Lonchura striata: one gene and its partner. The protein of the gene in region 2 binds, or shares a complex with, the protein of the main gene of each other region. Links are inferred from orthologs where the notes say so. Each region holds a gene or a part of one and is shown on either strand. Other genes may lie near its edges.

The links. Proteins that work in one complex are often made in the same cells at the same time.
Region 1: KAT6B (region 2) and BRD1 share a complex: the UniProt entries of both Homo sapiens proteins name them as parts of the MOZ/MORF complex. The link is inferred for Lonchura striata from reciprocal best matches to the Homo sapiens genes KAT6B and BRD1.

What each region holds. Positions count from the first base shown.
Region 1 is NC_134607.1:28,520,359-28,528,041, forward strand, and holds the start of BRD1 (bromodomain-containing protein 1), read right to left. Parts: upstream 3,062-7,683; 5' UTR 2,943-3,061; intron 1-2,942. UniProt on the Homo sapiens protein: Scaffold subunit of various histone acetyltransferase (HAT) complexes, such as the MOZ/MORF and HBO1 complexes, that acts as a regulator of hematopoiesis.
Region 2 is NC_134609.1:11,669,642-11,676,895, forward strand, and holds the start of KAT6B (histone acetyltransferase KAT6B), read right to left. Parts: upstream 3,059-7,254; 5' UTR 2,876-3,058; exon of another isoform or gene 2,771-2,875; 5' UTR 2,717-2,770; intron 2,601-2,716; exon of another isoform or gene 2,573-2,600; intron 2,557-2,572; exon of another isoform or gene 2,326-2,556; intron 1,013-2,325; exon of another isoform or gene 908-1,012; intron 1-907. UniProt on the Homo sapiens protein: Histone acetyltransferase which may be involved in both positive and negative regulation of transcription. Required for RUNX2-dependent transcriptional activation. May be involved in cerebral cortex development.

The DNA of each region.
Region 1 (7,683 bases), on a different chromosome or scaffold from region 2:
GCTACATAAAAAATCCTTGATCTTTAATCACTGCCTAAAGTGTTATTAGAGCCTCACCATTTCAACTCCGCATTTTGGGTCAGGGCTGCTCACTATAACGCAACTAGTGTTAGCATGTATTGCCAAAATAGTAGAGAAATAGAGAAATCAAAACACAACTACTGTGAATGACCAGTATACCTGTTTCAGGAAGAAAACAGCAAGCACTGAACAACTAACTGCATGAATTACTCCATGCTGGCTTGCTCCTTTTGCTTAAGTCTAAGATGCCAATTTCTAAAGGTCTCAAAGTACTGGAGGAATTCCTTTCACAGAAGACTACTAGATCACTCAGGCAACTAACCCTAAGACTAGTTCCTGAAAGGCTCTGATCCGTCTGCTCTCAGAAACAGAATCTGTTTTCATAATCTAAGCTAGTGTTATTATTAACATGAGAATTGTGCTTCTCATAATTTTTGCACAACTCATTCTTAACCCTTACTACTTGTTTCAGTACCATACAGCCAGAAAACAGTCAGTGTTTAATCATAACAGATCTTTGCTCTTTATAAACCACAGAAAAATACAAAATGCTCCATTTCTTCGAACAACTTTGGAAGAAGCCTTTAATAATTAAATTCTCTAAAACAACACAGGATTCAATCATATTAGTTTCTTAACCACGGAAAACGGTTTAAACAACTAATACTGACTGCCAAAGAAGGTCTGACCACTAAAACATACCAGGAATTTAACCAAAACTAAAAATTAATTCCCAGTTTCAATACAGATTTCATAAATGAAATGTATTACAATGGCCCTGATTTCTGTTATTGTGAACAATTAATGATGGATTCTTCAGCTAAAACACACTGATGTGTCTGTGCACAGCAACTTTTTACAGATCAGAATGGACTCAGTTTACTTGTCAATCAAGAAACATGGTTTACAGCATGTTTACCTCATATAATTGCATTTCAATTCTGTCCAGATGCAAAAGCCTGCTTTGGTATTTTTAATGTCCCTTCCTATGTTTTAGCTGGTTGTGTATCTGTTAGTAGTGGCTCCTGAGAATGAAGACTGTTTCAGAGAATATGCAGAGGGAGGGATGAGAGGTGACCTTCAGAAATCAAACACATGTGTAACTTGTCCATACTACCTTAGCCCAGTACCACAGAAAAACACATTAATGCTATGTTTCCAAGCTCTCCACTCCACTCTGTTCCCAAGATTCTCAAGTATGGCTTCAGGCAGGAATTAAAAATAGGAAGAAAATACTCAAAAGCACAAGATCTTTAATCTTGCTTAAAGATTTAGGACAGCTGTTGCAAAAGTCAAGTGAATTGTATAAACCAGACAGATAAAAAAAATATTGAGCTAACACCTAAGTATATTGTAATACTCAACAGTAAATACAGCAGACTTAGGTAGGAAGTTACACTCTCAAACATAGAATGGATACCCTAAAAATACAATGTAATGCACACAGAATCAAAACTGGTATTACTCAGGCTGAATTTCATGCAAATTTAGCGTGAAAAACTTAAATGCCCCAGAGGCCAAAGCAGTGTTTTGTTTCTCCAAAATTCTTCTGTGTTTGCAAATGTTCTAGAAATACTCCGGACGAAGACCAGAGTTCTGCACAGCAAATTCATGACCCACAACTGGTTTGCTTTTCCTAGGCAATTATCAGCTGGCATTTCTCCCTTCTACTCCCACCCCTCTTCCCAGTATCCTGTAGATCAATAGGAATGAGGACTAAGATGTAAATTAGAAGTGTAAACTAAGACAAGTTTCCATTCAATGACCACAAAGATACTGCACTAACTGCACACAAAATTATTTTAATGCACCTCTGTTAGCACTGTCCTGGCCACAAAGACTGCGGGATATAAACCAGGGAAGTTATCCACAGCTCTTATGTCCTAGAATTGCATCAGCTACTTGGGAAGGAAATCGCCAGCAGACGTTTTTCCTCCCCATAAACAGAAGTACATGGAAATAGCCGTTTCTGTGAAATACATGGTGTGAGGTAAAAACAACAACAACAAAAATCTATTTATCAAGGTGTAGGATAGCTAAAATCAACACGAAAAGTACAGTACCACATACTTCTAAATTACAATATCTGCCCTAGTTACCTTCCTTCTCTTCAAATAGCTGTCTTTAGTCCCTGGATTCCTGCTCAATGGACTAGGGAATTGCACTCTCAATGGCACTTTCGTGTAGACCATTAAAAAGAGAAAGACACGGGAATACTCTTCAGTCCTAGACAATGGGGGACGGTAAGCAAACAGTGCTTACACGCACACTGGGCGGACAGCACCCGCCGCTTCAGCCGCGCAGCAGGAGCGATTCCCCGGGGCACGGCCCAGAGCGGCTCACGGAGCCCAGCGAAGGTGCGCGGGCACGGCCAAGCCACGCGGGAGCACCAGAGCCGTTCTGTGCCGGCCCGGCGGAAAGAGCGCAGGGCCGCCAGCTCCCGCAGCATCCCGGAATCCTGCCTCCCGCGCGCGCTGCCCACGCCCCCGGCCCGCCCCTGCCGCGCCAACACTTCCTGCCCACGCCCAGGGAGCCTCCAGCGCGCTGCCTCCCCTCGCGCCGATGGTTCCTGCCCGGCGCGGCGCTCCCCCCTCCCGGCCCCCGGCAGGATGGTTCCTGCCCGGGCCCATCATCTCCAGCCCTTCCCAACAGTCACTCCCTCCCGCCGCGAAAATACTCGGCCCACAAATATGGCGGCTGACAAAACAGCTCCAGCGGCGCCCTCCCTCCCTCCCCCAGACCGCCGCGCTCGCCTCGCTCCCCGCCCGCCCGCCGCTGCCCTCCCCCGCGGGCTGCCGTGCCCAGTCCGCCCTGCTCTTGCCCCCGTGCCGCTCTCCCGTCCCGCTGCGGCGAGACCCGCCGGCTCCCGGCCCCGTAGCCCCCGCCCGCGGGTCCCCGCCGCCCAACCCGGCCGTACTCACGCTGTGGGAGCCGCCGAGGAGCGGCTGACAGACCTCCCGCTCCGCCGCTGCGGCCGACGCTCGGCCGGGTTAATGGCGGAGGCCCCGCCGGTGCTGCCGCCTGGCCCCGCGTCCGGCAGCCGCGGGCGGCCGAGCGGGCGCTACGAGGGCCGCGCTGCCCGCGGCGGTCACCCGGCGCTGGGTGCGGGGCTGCTGCTGCCGCCGGGCGCGGCGCATTCGTGAGGCGCGGCGCGCGTCGCTGTCCGGCTGCGGGCTCGGCGCTCGGCTCCCGGGGCTGAGCGGCTCCCCTCCCCCCGCGGCACAAACAATGCGGCTTCACCACAGCGCTGCGCCGACGGGGGGGAGGAGGAGAGGCGGGCGGGAGGGAGGGAGCGAGCGAGGAGGGAAGGGACGTGCGGGCGCCAGGCGCCGCCCAGCCCCGCCGCTCCCGCCGCCGCGGGGCGGGGCCTTGCGCGCCGCCGCTCCCCGCGGCCGCGGCCGGCACCGGCCGCGCTCGGGGCGGGAACGCGCCGGTCCCACGACCGCTGCGCTCCCGCCTGGACCGGCCGGGCCCGAGCCCGAACCCGCCGAGCGTCCCTGGTACAACGTTCGAACGGCCCGGCGCGGGGGCCAGGGAACGGATGGAGGCGGGACGGGACTCGTTACAAAACCGAGGCTAGAAAGTTGAAGCGAGTGGTATTTATTATCTCTTTGGGGGGGAAGTCCAAGCTCAAGATTCCTTATGCTGAAAGTAAGCTCCTTCGTGGTCTCTGGGTCAAACTGCTGCTTGTAGATGAACTGATATTAGCCTTACATTTTGACAGAGAAAAAGAAGGTTATTTCTGGCTTCCCCTGCAAAGGACACCCTTTGTTAGGTATTATTTTTAGACAGCCATTACAGCCATATCTGAGAACTGGAGGGTTTTACTGCAATACATTTCTGCAAGGCAGCTGCACCCACATCCTTAGAAAACAAGGTTTAGCTGGCCCTGCCTAACACAAACACTTGCCTGTGCTGATCATCCAAAGCAAGCATATAGTAAAAAACAAGTGATTGAGAGTAGGTGTGATTCTTTTTACCCATCAGTATTTAGCATCCACTCAGCTAAATTGCTGAAAAACAACTTACCCATTCATTTTTGTTTTCTCTAGTAGTAAGAGGTTTCCTTGCCTCAAAAACCAGTAGGTCCTACAATTAATATATGACTAGGGAATCAGAAATAGATACATATGTTATTACTTGTAGAAAGTTAATTGAAGTCCAGAGAGTTTAAGCAACTAGGCTGGAAATCTTGTCGAATATGAAAAGTACTTTCCAAATTCTTTTTATCCTCCTCAGGGACCATTTAGCACACTGATCTCTGAACAAAACAGAAGCTATTAAAGCAGCTAACACTTGTGCAGTTTGCTCAGTGTAGATATAAATCCTTAGGCACAGACACATAAAGTACCTTCAGCTTCCAATACAAGAAAGTTTGTACAAACTATGGAGGCCATCTGGTCATTTGTGTACTTGGCTGTGAGGAACTACTCTCCAGTTAAATTGTTTTAGTGATCCTGTCAGCAGTCTCAGAAGTCTTACAACATGCTGATATAAGTTAGTGTTGTTGCACTGGAATTCAACCTGTGATAGAAACATATTAAAGAGGGATATCATACCATACCTTATCATGTACATTAGTGTGCAGAGTATAAAAATGAATAGAAATAATGTTGTCAAAAACCTATTAAGATTATGATATGAAAATATGCCAGTTTATCTTTTAAGCAATAATTCACGTGTATTTGCTTTGCAGCTGTACAAATACTTTTTTAAGTGGAGACAAGTTTGCCACAGAAACTTTGATGGTGTCCACATTCTAATGCGTCTGACACACAGCAAGTCTGGCTTTTTTCCAGTTTCTTTTTTCTGACAGGTGGACTAAGCATTCCATCATCCTTAGGCATCCCTATGATAACAGGGTATTCCTCATTGGTATTTCCACCATTTGACCACTTTTCTGTAATTTAAACTCATTCTTCTAGATTCTTCCAATTACTCTCATTAAGAAGGTGGTATGTTGAGTTTTTGTTCTGGAGTGTCCAGGCTAGGACACAGACCTCATGTTGTTCCTTCATATGGTATTTCAGAGTAACAGCACAAAGATTAGGGCACACTCAACAAAAAGCTCTCTATTAGGAATCTTAGACTTCAAAATAATTTCATTGACCTTATGACAGGCTACCAAAGCAGGATGCTCAATCTCTTCATTTTAACTATTAGTATATTAGCCTATGCATTTCAAAACAGAGCAGTATGTAGTATTGTCTGGGACATCTGTCCAGTCCCCAGCACATGTGCCTACAACCTAAAAGATCTGCTACCTTCATCTTTTCCACCTCACAAGTGAGATGTGGTTACTCAAAAGAATACAATACTACTAGCATATGGTTCAATTTCAAGCTAAAAATAAGCCCTCTGATCTCTAGCTTGATGGCAACAGACCACTCACCACTGTTTTTCACACCAGTTCAACATGTGCAAGGGGCTTTAGTCCCAGTTCTTCAGAATCCTCACACCCCTACCTGGCAGGATCAAACTGTTAAACAAGTTGCCAATGCTGACTCACTCTGCATGGAAAACTTCACAGAAGGTCTATCTTCTGCCTACCAGCTTTCACCTCCACTAGTTGTCAAATTCTCAACAGAATCACTGCAAGAAAAACCACATAAAGAAACACAATTGCTATTTATCTGCCCCAGCATCCTCCTCTATTTTCTTGTAGAATCAAACTTCATGAGACACATTTCTATGTTTCTAAAGTGTATCACCTTTGTTTCACAGATTAATACAAGTCAACACAACAGTCACTGCAGCAATAAATACTTGCAGAGGTAATGACCTACTTTGGATGCAACTTTGTATCCCTCTCCTGGCCCAGACAGCTATCTGCTGAAAAGACCAGAAGGAATCAGAACTCATGCCCGCTCCTTAGAACCTGCAACAATCTGCATTTCGAGAAAGGTTTTGGACTGCCATAACATACCCGTGTGGGTCTTCTTCCTATCATGATGACAAATCTGCCTAACCTTGAATGTGATATTTCCATATGATGCCCTAAGGTAATGTATCACCAGTAAGTTTTCAAGTTTGGCTTATCCATTATACAATTTACACCTTCACACTCATCTATGACACAACATGACCATGGTCCTCTCATCCTACATGGGAATGCTTTTAGATCTCACTTACTTCATCAGTGATGGTATGTGCCACTGGTAGAATACTTTCAGGCATGACTTTGCAAGTTCACAAAAGAAAGGTTGTTCCCAAACCTCATGGAAGCCAGAACGGCATTCACTGTGGAAAAGATGTAGTAATCTTATCAATAGACATATTATAGCAGTGTGCTCACAGAATTTCAGCTGTTTATTTTCAGTCTGTTGGGTGGTGGTGCAGGATCACTCTGCATCTTCTGGGTGATCTGCAAATTTTTGTATTTACAGGAAAATACACATGATCACTGATCCATCTTCTAGTTATTACTGATATCTTGTAAGAAAGATTGGTACATCATACTAGACTGAGTCCTGGATGACCAGAAGGAAGATCAAATTTTTAGCTTCAAATATATGAAAGAAGTATCCATTTTACTCCTACTTGTTTACTGAATATATTCCTTGATCTGTAGTTAGGAAGATTTGTCTGGACTTTCCTTCTCACTCCTCTGATCTGGATGTTTTAGCTGTATGATGACAATGTATGTTCACCAACTGTTATGGAATCAAGGATGTTTTGTTTCTTACAGCCTCAGTAACTCTTACTTCCTACACATATCACCTTTCTCATTCTCACAGCCAAAGTGGTTCTTTGTTTATGAATTGTTAAGACCCTTTAGTCTGACCCTTCAGAACAAACGATCCAAATGAACAGTCTTCACCAAAACACAAGTTTAAAAACAGACTGGGAGCTGTGTCAGTGCCTTTTATGGTACTGATGAAGGTCCAGAGACGTTTTATCATCAGAGCTCCACCAGAAGTCAAACTTGATCAGGGTGCTTGCAAAGAAATACCTTTGTAAGCTGCATCTGCTGAGCAGTCCTATGGAATGTTATCTATAGATAAGCTAGAAGATCATTTGACAGAGTGGTCTTCAAGTAGTAAAGCTGTTATGCAAAGGCCCTTATCCCATTTCCATTTAAGCATTTGTTGGAGCTACTGCTTGGAGTCACCTACTGCAAGAAGAGGTATGTATCCTGTCACTTGCTGACAGAGAGATACACCAAGTAATTTGCTGAGATATACAATTGACAGCAAATACTGCCTGCTTTACTTATCCACTATTCTGAATCCTTTAACATCATGTACCTTTAGGATTTTGCAATTTTAAGATGCTCTCTACAATATGTGCTCATAACTGTTGCATGGTGGAAGGTGGGGAATGACCTCACTCCTCTGGACACTGCAAAGATGCAAAAACAAACTTCATGATTAGGCTATACATGAAAACATATGTAAGCTATGCTTCAATAATACAAAACAAAAAACCACACACAAATTACATCATGCTGCAACACAAGGACAGAGCTTGCCTGTGTAATGACCTGTAGGTCTGCCAAACAGCAAAACTACCATCTACTAGTTTCAAGACTATTTTATCAAGAACAAAACCTTGGAACAGAACTATTGGCACTCATGTATAATGATATTGCTGTTTCCAAAAGAGTAGACAGAGCCATAATCAAGAGAATAATCTGCTTCTCTTCCATCATTGTCTCTTCAG
Region 2 (7,254 bases):
TATTCTTTACACACAATATGCTTTCCAAATTTAAGAAAAAGCAATGACACATCTATATGCTTTAAAAAGACAGATGTATACACTACAGTAACTTCAAAACTGCACTAAAGACTCGTGGATGTGGAGAGAAGAGTGGCACATGTGAAACAAACTGATGGAAGTGCTTGTGCTCTGAGATACCCCACAAGCTTCTTCGAGATCATCTGCTTAAAATCGTTTCCCAACATGACAGCAGCAAGCGCCACCAGAGGAAGCAGCATCAGCACAACATGACAGCAGCAAAATCACCCAAATTCACCTTTCCCACCTTCTCCTGTGGAAGTTCTGAGTACTTTAAAATACAGTACTAGAGAACCGCAGGAAATACGGAAAGGTAATATTCACTGCCAAGAGTTCACCTGGAAAAAGGTGAACTGAAAACATTTCTTCTTGAGATAGTGGTTTTCAACAGCAGGGGTGGGTATCCGTCTGCTCTTGCCAGAGGGGGTTATTTTCAATGCTCAGTGACAGAGTATGAGAGGTGAGGTCCGGGCAAAGAACACACAATGTGAACATCACTTCCAAAACGTGGCACCGCCAAGCTGGACTATTCCCCTCCCCAACTTACTTAAGGTTTTTGCAGCACTAGCCCAGCCACGGAGATGTGCAACGCCCAGAGCCTCGGGCCAAGGCATTGTTGCATTCGAAGGGGCCAAGCCGGGGCTGGCTCTGCGCCCTGCCCGCCCTGCTCCGGGGTTTGCCATCGCCGAGGCAGGAGCCCCGGCCCGCGGGCTCAGCCCCCGGGCACGGCGACCCGCGGCAGGGCAGCCCGGGCCGTGCGCGCACCCGCGGGGCGCCGGGCGGGGCCGGGGGCGGCGGCCGCGCGTCCCCCGCGGGAGGCAGGTGAGACCCCCCCGGTACCACTCACCTCGGCGGGGGAGGAGCCTCCTCCGGGCGCCGCAGCGGCTCCCCCTGCTGCCGGCTCTTCCGCCGCTCCCGCCGCCGGGCCGCGCCGGGCCGCCTGCCCCGCTCCGCGCTGCCCGCGGCCGCCGCGACCGCCCCGCGCGGCTCGGCGCACCTACGCCGCCATTTTGTCTCGCCCCGTTGTACTTAACGTGAATCCGACATGACACTGATTACAGCCCAATGGAGGCTCATTAAAACCTTACCTACCCCGCGCCCCGCCCACCGCCGCCCGCCATTGGCCCGCGCCGCGCACGCCGCTGCGCGCTCACGGGCCGGGGGGGGGCTGCCGCCGCCCGCCCACACCGGGCCGGGCCCGCCCAGCAACCGGCCCGGCGCTCCCATTGGCGGGCGCCGCCCGTCACTCACGCGGCGCGCCCCTTCCCGGCGCGCTCAGCACCGCCCACCGGCGGGAGGGGGCGGGGCCGGCGGCTGACACTGGCCGCCGCCGCCGCCACACACTGGCGCGCCCCGCCCGCCCGCCTCACCGCCGGGCCCCGGGGCGCTCGCGATTGGCCAGCCGCCGGGAGCGGCGGCGGGACTCCTCGCCATCCCACCCTCCCGTTGGCCGCCGCTGCCGCCCGTCCGCCACCCCCCACCCTCGGCCTCCCCAGCCCCCGCCACCGCCCCACCCGCTCGCTCCCGAAGTTTGTTCGGGAGCGCGAGCGCTGCCGAGACACCGGCGGCGGCCGCCTGAGCCAGCTCGGCAGGGCGGGCGGGCGCGCGACACACACTAATGAGCCGCCTTAAATACTGAGCGTCGCGCGCGCCTCAGCGGCTGGCGCTCGCCCGGGCGGGCGAGATGGAGCAGCATGCGCCCAGCATCACCTCCCAAGGTGCCTGGACTGGCAGCCGCTTATCGCGCACACCCCGCACCGCCGGGGGAGGGAGGAGGGAGTGGGAACGGGGACGACGACAATGACTCCCGGCTCTGCAGCCACATGCAGGTCCCTGCAAGTTTCGCCATGCGAAGCACCAGGGACTTCTCTGTCACCCCGTCTGCGAAGGAACAATTGCCGCCTCAGAAAGACAGGGTGGGAACATGCAACACAAAAACCTCAGCCATCCCCTGCTTCCCTCCGCCACTCCATTCCCCCTCTCCCCACCCCATCCAACCCAGCCATCACCCCCTGCTGCTGCTCCCCCTCCCCTGCAAAACGCAGAGCATTGCAATGCATTTACCCAGCGCAAGTGTCTGCAAACACGTGCATCAGCCTCCGATGCTAAAGGAAAAAAAGTACCCAGCCTAGTGACAAGCCCCCTGCGCTGGGAGAGGGGAGGGAAAGGGGGTTATTATGGCAAATTGCAGCCTGTCACCCAATGCAAAACAAACCCCATCGCATGCTCCCTATTATCCCCCGCATAAACTCCTGGGAATCTAACCTCCGATGCAGGTTCCCCCCTTTGCTTGCAATGACCTCCTTTCTCTGCCCGTGTGTGTTTCTGCAGCAGCGGTTCCTGCGGAATGTGCTGCCCCTGAAACGCGATCGCGGCTCCTCTCTCTCTCTCGCTCGCTCGCTCTCTCCGCTCTGTCTCTCGCTCGCCCGCTCGCTCTCTCTCCTGGCTGCAAGCAGAGCCAGGAACACAACAACAACACAGCCTCCCCCCACCCCCTTCCCCAAACACATACACACTGAAGAGACCCAGCCAGGAGAGCCAGACGAGCCGGGGAGGGGGTGGAGGGAATCCCCAGCCAGCGGATTGATTGCACCAGTTACCTTCCCTAAGCCCCTCCGCGAGAGGGGAAAAAAGAAGATGAATACAGAGAGAATACCTTGTCTCCCCTCCTCCTCCTCCTCCGCGGGGCTCCTCTTCTCACTCCAAAATACTAAAAGGTGGACGGGCAGATCAGACACACGCGTTCAGCTCTCGGCGGGGGAGGGGAGCCACGCGAGCAATTATCATTAATTTAGAAATTAAAACAGAAACCCACCCCAGACCTCCAGCCTCCCCGGTGCGGGCGGACGCAGATTGCGAGGACTGGTGCTAAGACACAGGACCTGATAACAGCTAATTGAAAGGTTAATCTACATAGGCTGTGACAGAAGAGGTCCCTCCCCACTTTTTTATCTGCTGTTGGCAAGTGGGAAATTGAGCTCCCCCCCACCTTTTCTCCCTCAAAAAAAAAAAAAAAAAAAAAAAAAAATTAAAAAAAAATAAAAAAGGGAGAAAGGGGGAAAGGCGATAAAGTTTGTGGGGCGGCGCGTCCCCTGGGCGGGAAGGCGGCTGCGGGGAAGCGGCCGCCGGCGCCTCCCGGGGCCCGCGGCCGCCCTCGGGGGTCGCGCTGCGCTCTCCGTCCTCCGCGGGGCGGCTGGAGCGGCGCCGGGGGCAGCACCCCGCAGGCAGCCCTTGGGCTTCGGCACTCCCCCGGGCCGGGGCAAGGGGGCTGTGCTGGAGCTGCCACAATTAGTCTGAGGGGTGGAAGCAGCGTGAACTAATCACAGATGTTGTCCTCCCATTGAGTTCGTACATGTAACAAGATGTTCCGAGGAATATGTTTAAAAGAACAAGGTGATAACACGTATGGACTTAAAGCTCGGCTTTCTCCGCGCTGTCTTGACCGGCGCTGCCAAAGGCCTCTCACCATGTCAAAGTTTTCAGTAATCACAGAATATGCTGAGTTGGAAGGGACCCATCACAACCATCGAGTTCTACTCCTGGGTTTTAATACTCCTTGTGATGGTTTTCTCACCAACGGCCAGCAAACAGCACTTTTCACCCAAACATCACTTTTTACCCAAGCATGGCATGACAAAATACCATGGGATACATCCCATAGGGTACCACAAAAGGGAGGGAAAGGCAGAGTACCTACCTGAGCATCCACTCAAGCAGACACAGCTAGATATCCCTCATGTTCCCAAACTTGAATCATGATTGTTCCAGATGTCTCCTCAACATCCTCTTTTCCACATCTTGTGGATGACATGTTAAGTTAGGTGCCTGCCTGCAAAGTTTTCTAAAAATATCTGGTCCTGAATAAGAAAATATAAAAGTAAAATTCTAAAAAATATCCTTAAGAGTGGGTGGAAAATTACCTTCTACAATAAATTAAGATCTTCCCTAGATGATGCACTGCATGTAGACTAGTAAGGAAACAAAGTTTCCATAACAATAAAAAAAAGCATTAAGGTTTACTGCAACTTCTTTCAGAGTCACTTGCTCGAGATACTGTGTAAGGAAGCTCTTTGGTGATGTTTCAGAGCACTGTAAAATTGTATGACCTACTTAAAGAAAGCTACCGGGTGAAAATAATATTCCAGCATGTATCTATCACACCATAACCATTGACTGAGGTTTTAGTCTTTTAACTGCCAGATGCAGCCTTTTAAACATAAAGAGGGAAATTGAAATGTGTAGTGACCTAATACTTGTTGGAGAATCCGTCAAGGTTCATGCATTATGCAGGACCTGGCTGTGATTTAAAATAGTTTTTAAATTATTGGAAATGTTATAAATCATTTCAGCACAATTTGTAGCACAGCGTCACATTTGCAACACTATTCTGAATGTTGTGTCAACATTTCCATCAGAAACTTTTTTTTTTCTTTCCGGGAAATTTACAACTTGGTTAGTGGCAAAAACATAAAAATAATTTCTTGAAACTGAAACTTGGCATGGCCACATCCCAGCTTAGGAAACAAAACACTGGAGAAAACTTGATAATATGTTTGGCCATTTTGAAATTACAAGTATGTCGTGAAGACATAAGTAATAACGCAGAGAAAAATTATAAAAGTCTCTGGTTTAAACAATCCCATTCTTTCTTCTCAATTTAACTCTTTTCCCAAAAATAAATTTTACAGGATGATATGTCATTGGGTGTTATGTTCCAGTTTTTAACATATTCAAGAATCTTTTGTTTGCAAAGAAACTCCTATGGATCTTGACATTTACTGGTGTACCTGATATTATGTAAACTGTGAAGTTAAGCACATGAACTCTTTATACATGAATCATCGTCCAGCAAACTCAGATCCACTGTCACTGTAAATTATACTATTTCCCAAAATTATAACTTCAAAAGAGCTACATCATGGCAATTTAGTGCAGTTCAGTTTGAGATAGTGCATGTTACACAGAGAAATCTGGAATGCTTTGGATCTAACTGAGAATGTCTATAAGCATTTTGGTTTGTCATCTAGATAAGAAATATTTTTGGTTTATTGTATGAAAACACCCTCAAGCCTATATTAAAAATATCTATGGAAATGTAAAAAGCCCATCAATGAAGTTAGTGCAAACAATAAAATTTACACTTAAGTATGTCTTTCATGGGCAGACTTTGCGGGATTTTTCTCCCATAAGTCTTGCAAACTGATGAAGTAGTAACAGGTGTCTAAACACTTATACATTGAATACACCCATTCCATGTGCTAAAATCATGTCCTTAATATTAAACAAGAGTACCTAAAATCAAAATAACTTTCCCATGTATTCTTGTAGAAAGATCTACTTTGGCCCATTTCACTTTGTTCTATTAGTCTCTTTGTTTTTATTCTATTTTAAATAATCTTATTTAGAGCATTTTTGCCCCACATCCCCCCCAATGGAAAAATATATATGATTGTACATATATATTGTAGAGTATGTAGTAAGCATATGTCTCTCCTCAAAAGTCCTTAGAATTATTCTAAAAATGCACTAACACTGCTATTTTTTGATCACAAGTGAGAGAAAGCAAGAAGTTAAGGGCTCTGCATGGTCTCAGTTAAATTCAGTTCTCAAAAATCAAAATCTGAAAATTGCTGTATGGCTGTGGTGTAAGACATGCTGGAGACTACTGCTTAAATAAAGCCCAGACATGTGCAGAATAAATTCATCAGTGTACAAAAAAGAAGACCGAATTAGAGTTTGAGCACTTGCTTGAAATCAGTAAGAAAATTCTTGTGCATGAAATTACTGCCATATTAAGAATTTCCCTGTGAGGCCTTTAATCACTGATGCAGTTCCATTAGAACTAGTGGGGCTGTTACATATTTAGAAACAATTATGTAGTTGTCCATGTTGGTATGGTGACAGATCCCTATTTATCTTTGGAGATGCTGGAGGGTAAAATCTTGGCCCCCATCGCAGCCTGGCAAAACGTCCTATGACTTCAACCAAGCCAGGATGTTCCTTCTATTATTACCACACACAACCACATATTTGACTACAGTCACCTGGAAATTGCATCCCCTGGCATATGCTGTTGAAAGAAGTGACCCTGGGAAGAAAAGTCATCCTAAGAGTGCCATGAGTTTCATCCCAGCCTGTAGGAGCTGAATGCATAAATTCTTTACCTGAACAACCTCCTCTGCTTAGCTTACCTTCAATCTCACATTCCTTCTGGACTAAACAACCTTTTTTTTTTTTTTTTCATTTGTGATATTCTTTTCCCCCAGCTATTTGTATTTTAATTTAATCTGAAAGATTAATCCATGAAACTATGTCTGCTCCTCTGCACAAGCAGAATGCTTCTTGGTTTATGTATGAGGATATGCATTGCTGCACATAACAGAGCACCACCACCCAACTTAAGCACTATAGATTATATTAATATATACACTCATATGTTTATATACACACAAAGTGAGTAACCTGTGGGCATGTTTTCTGATCATTTGCTGTCTCATCTATTCCATTTAATCAAATTGAATAATAGTGTAAAATAGTCTCCTGCTGCCATTTTACTGATTCTGGTGTTTTTTAATTCCTGAAACTAGCACATTATAAGGTAAATGCTATAGCAGTTTCAACTCAGGAGTTGTAATTGGCATAATACTGTAATTTGGAAATAAGTGTTTGTGGTAGATCAGCTGTCATCCCACAGGGATGGAGACAGTGACTGTTTATAATAAATCCCACATGTTCCTTTCTACTCTGGCAAATATACCACACTGCTATATCAAAGTACTTTACAATCCTTAATGAATTAGTTCCTGTAAGAGCTTTGTTAGGTGACTGTTATTTCTCTTGTTCTCCAACCAGAGATAGACAAAGTGTAAAGCAAAGTGGTTAGAAGAGGATGCTGGCCTCAGGAAAAATCTGGGCACCTGAGTATTAAGGGCTCTACTCTGGGCACAAGAGATCCAGTTTCAGAGGTCCTGTGCTGGTCGTGGAGAAGAAACTGCTGGCCTGTTAACACACATTTCAGACCTCAGCAGGAACAAGTCTTTTTGCTGCATTAACTATGCTACATGTTAAAGAAGCAATGGGATGAATAGAATTTGGGAGTGCAAAGGAAAATGCTAAAAGCAAAGAAGGAAAAAACCAGGTGGCTCTTATATATGACAATGTTTGTAAAATGGTGTCTTTCATATATACAGTGTC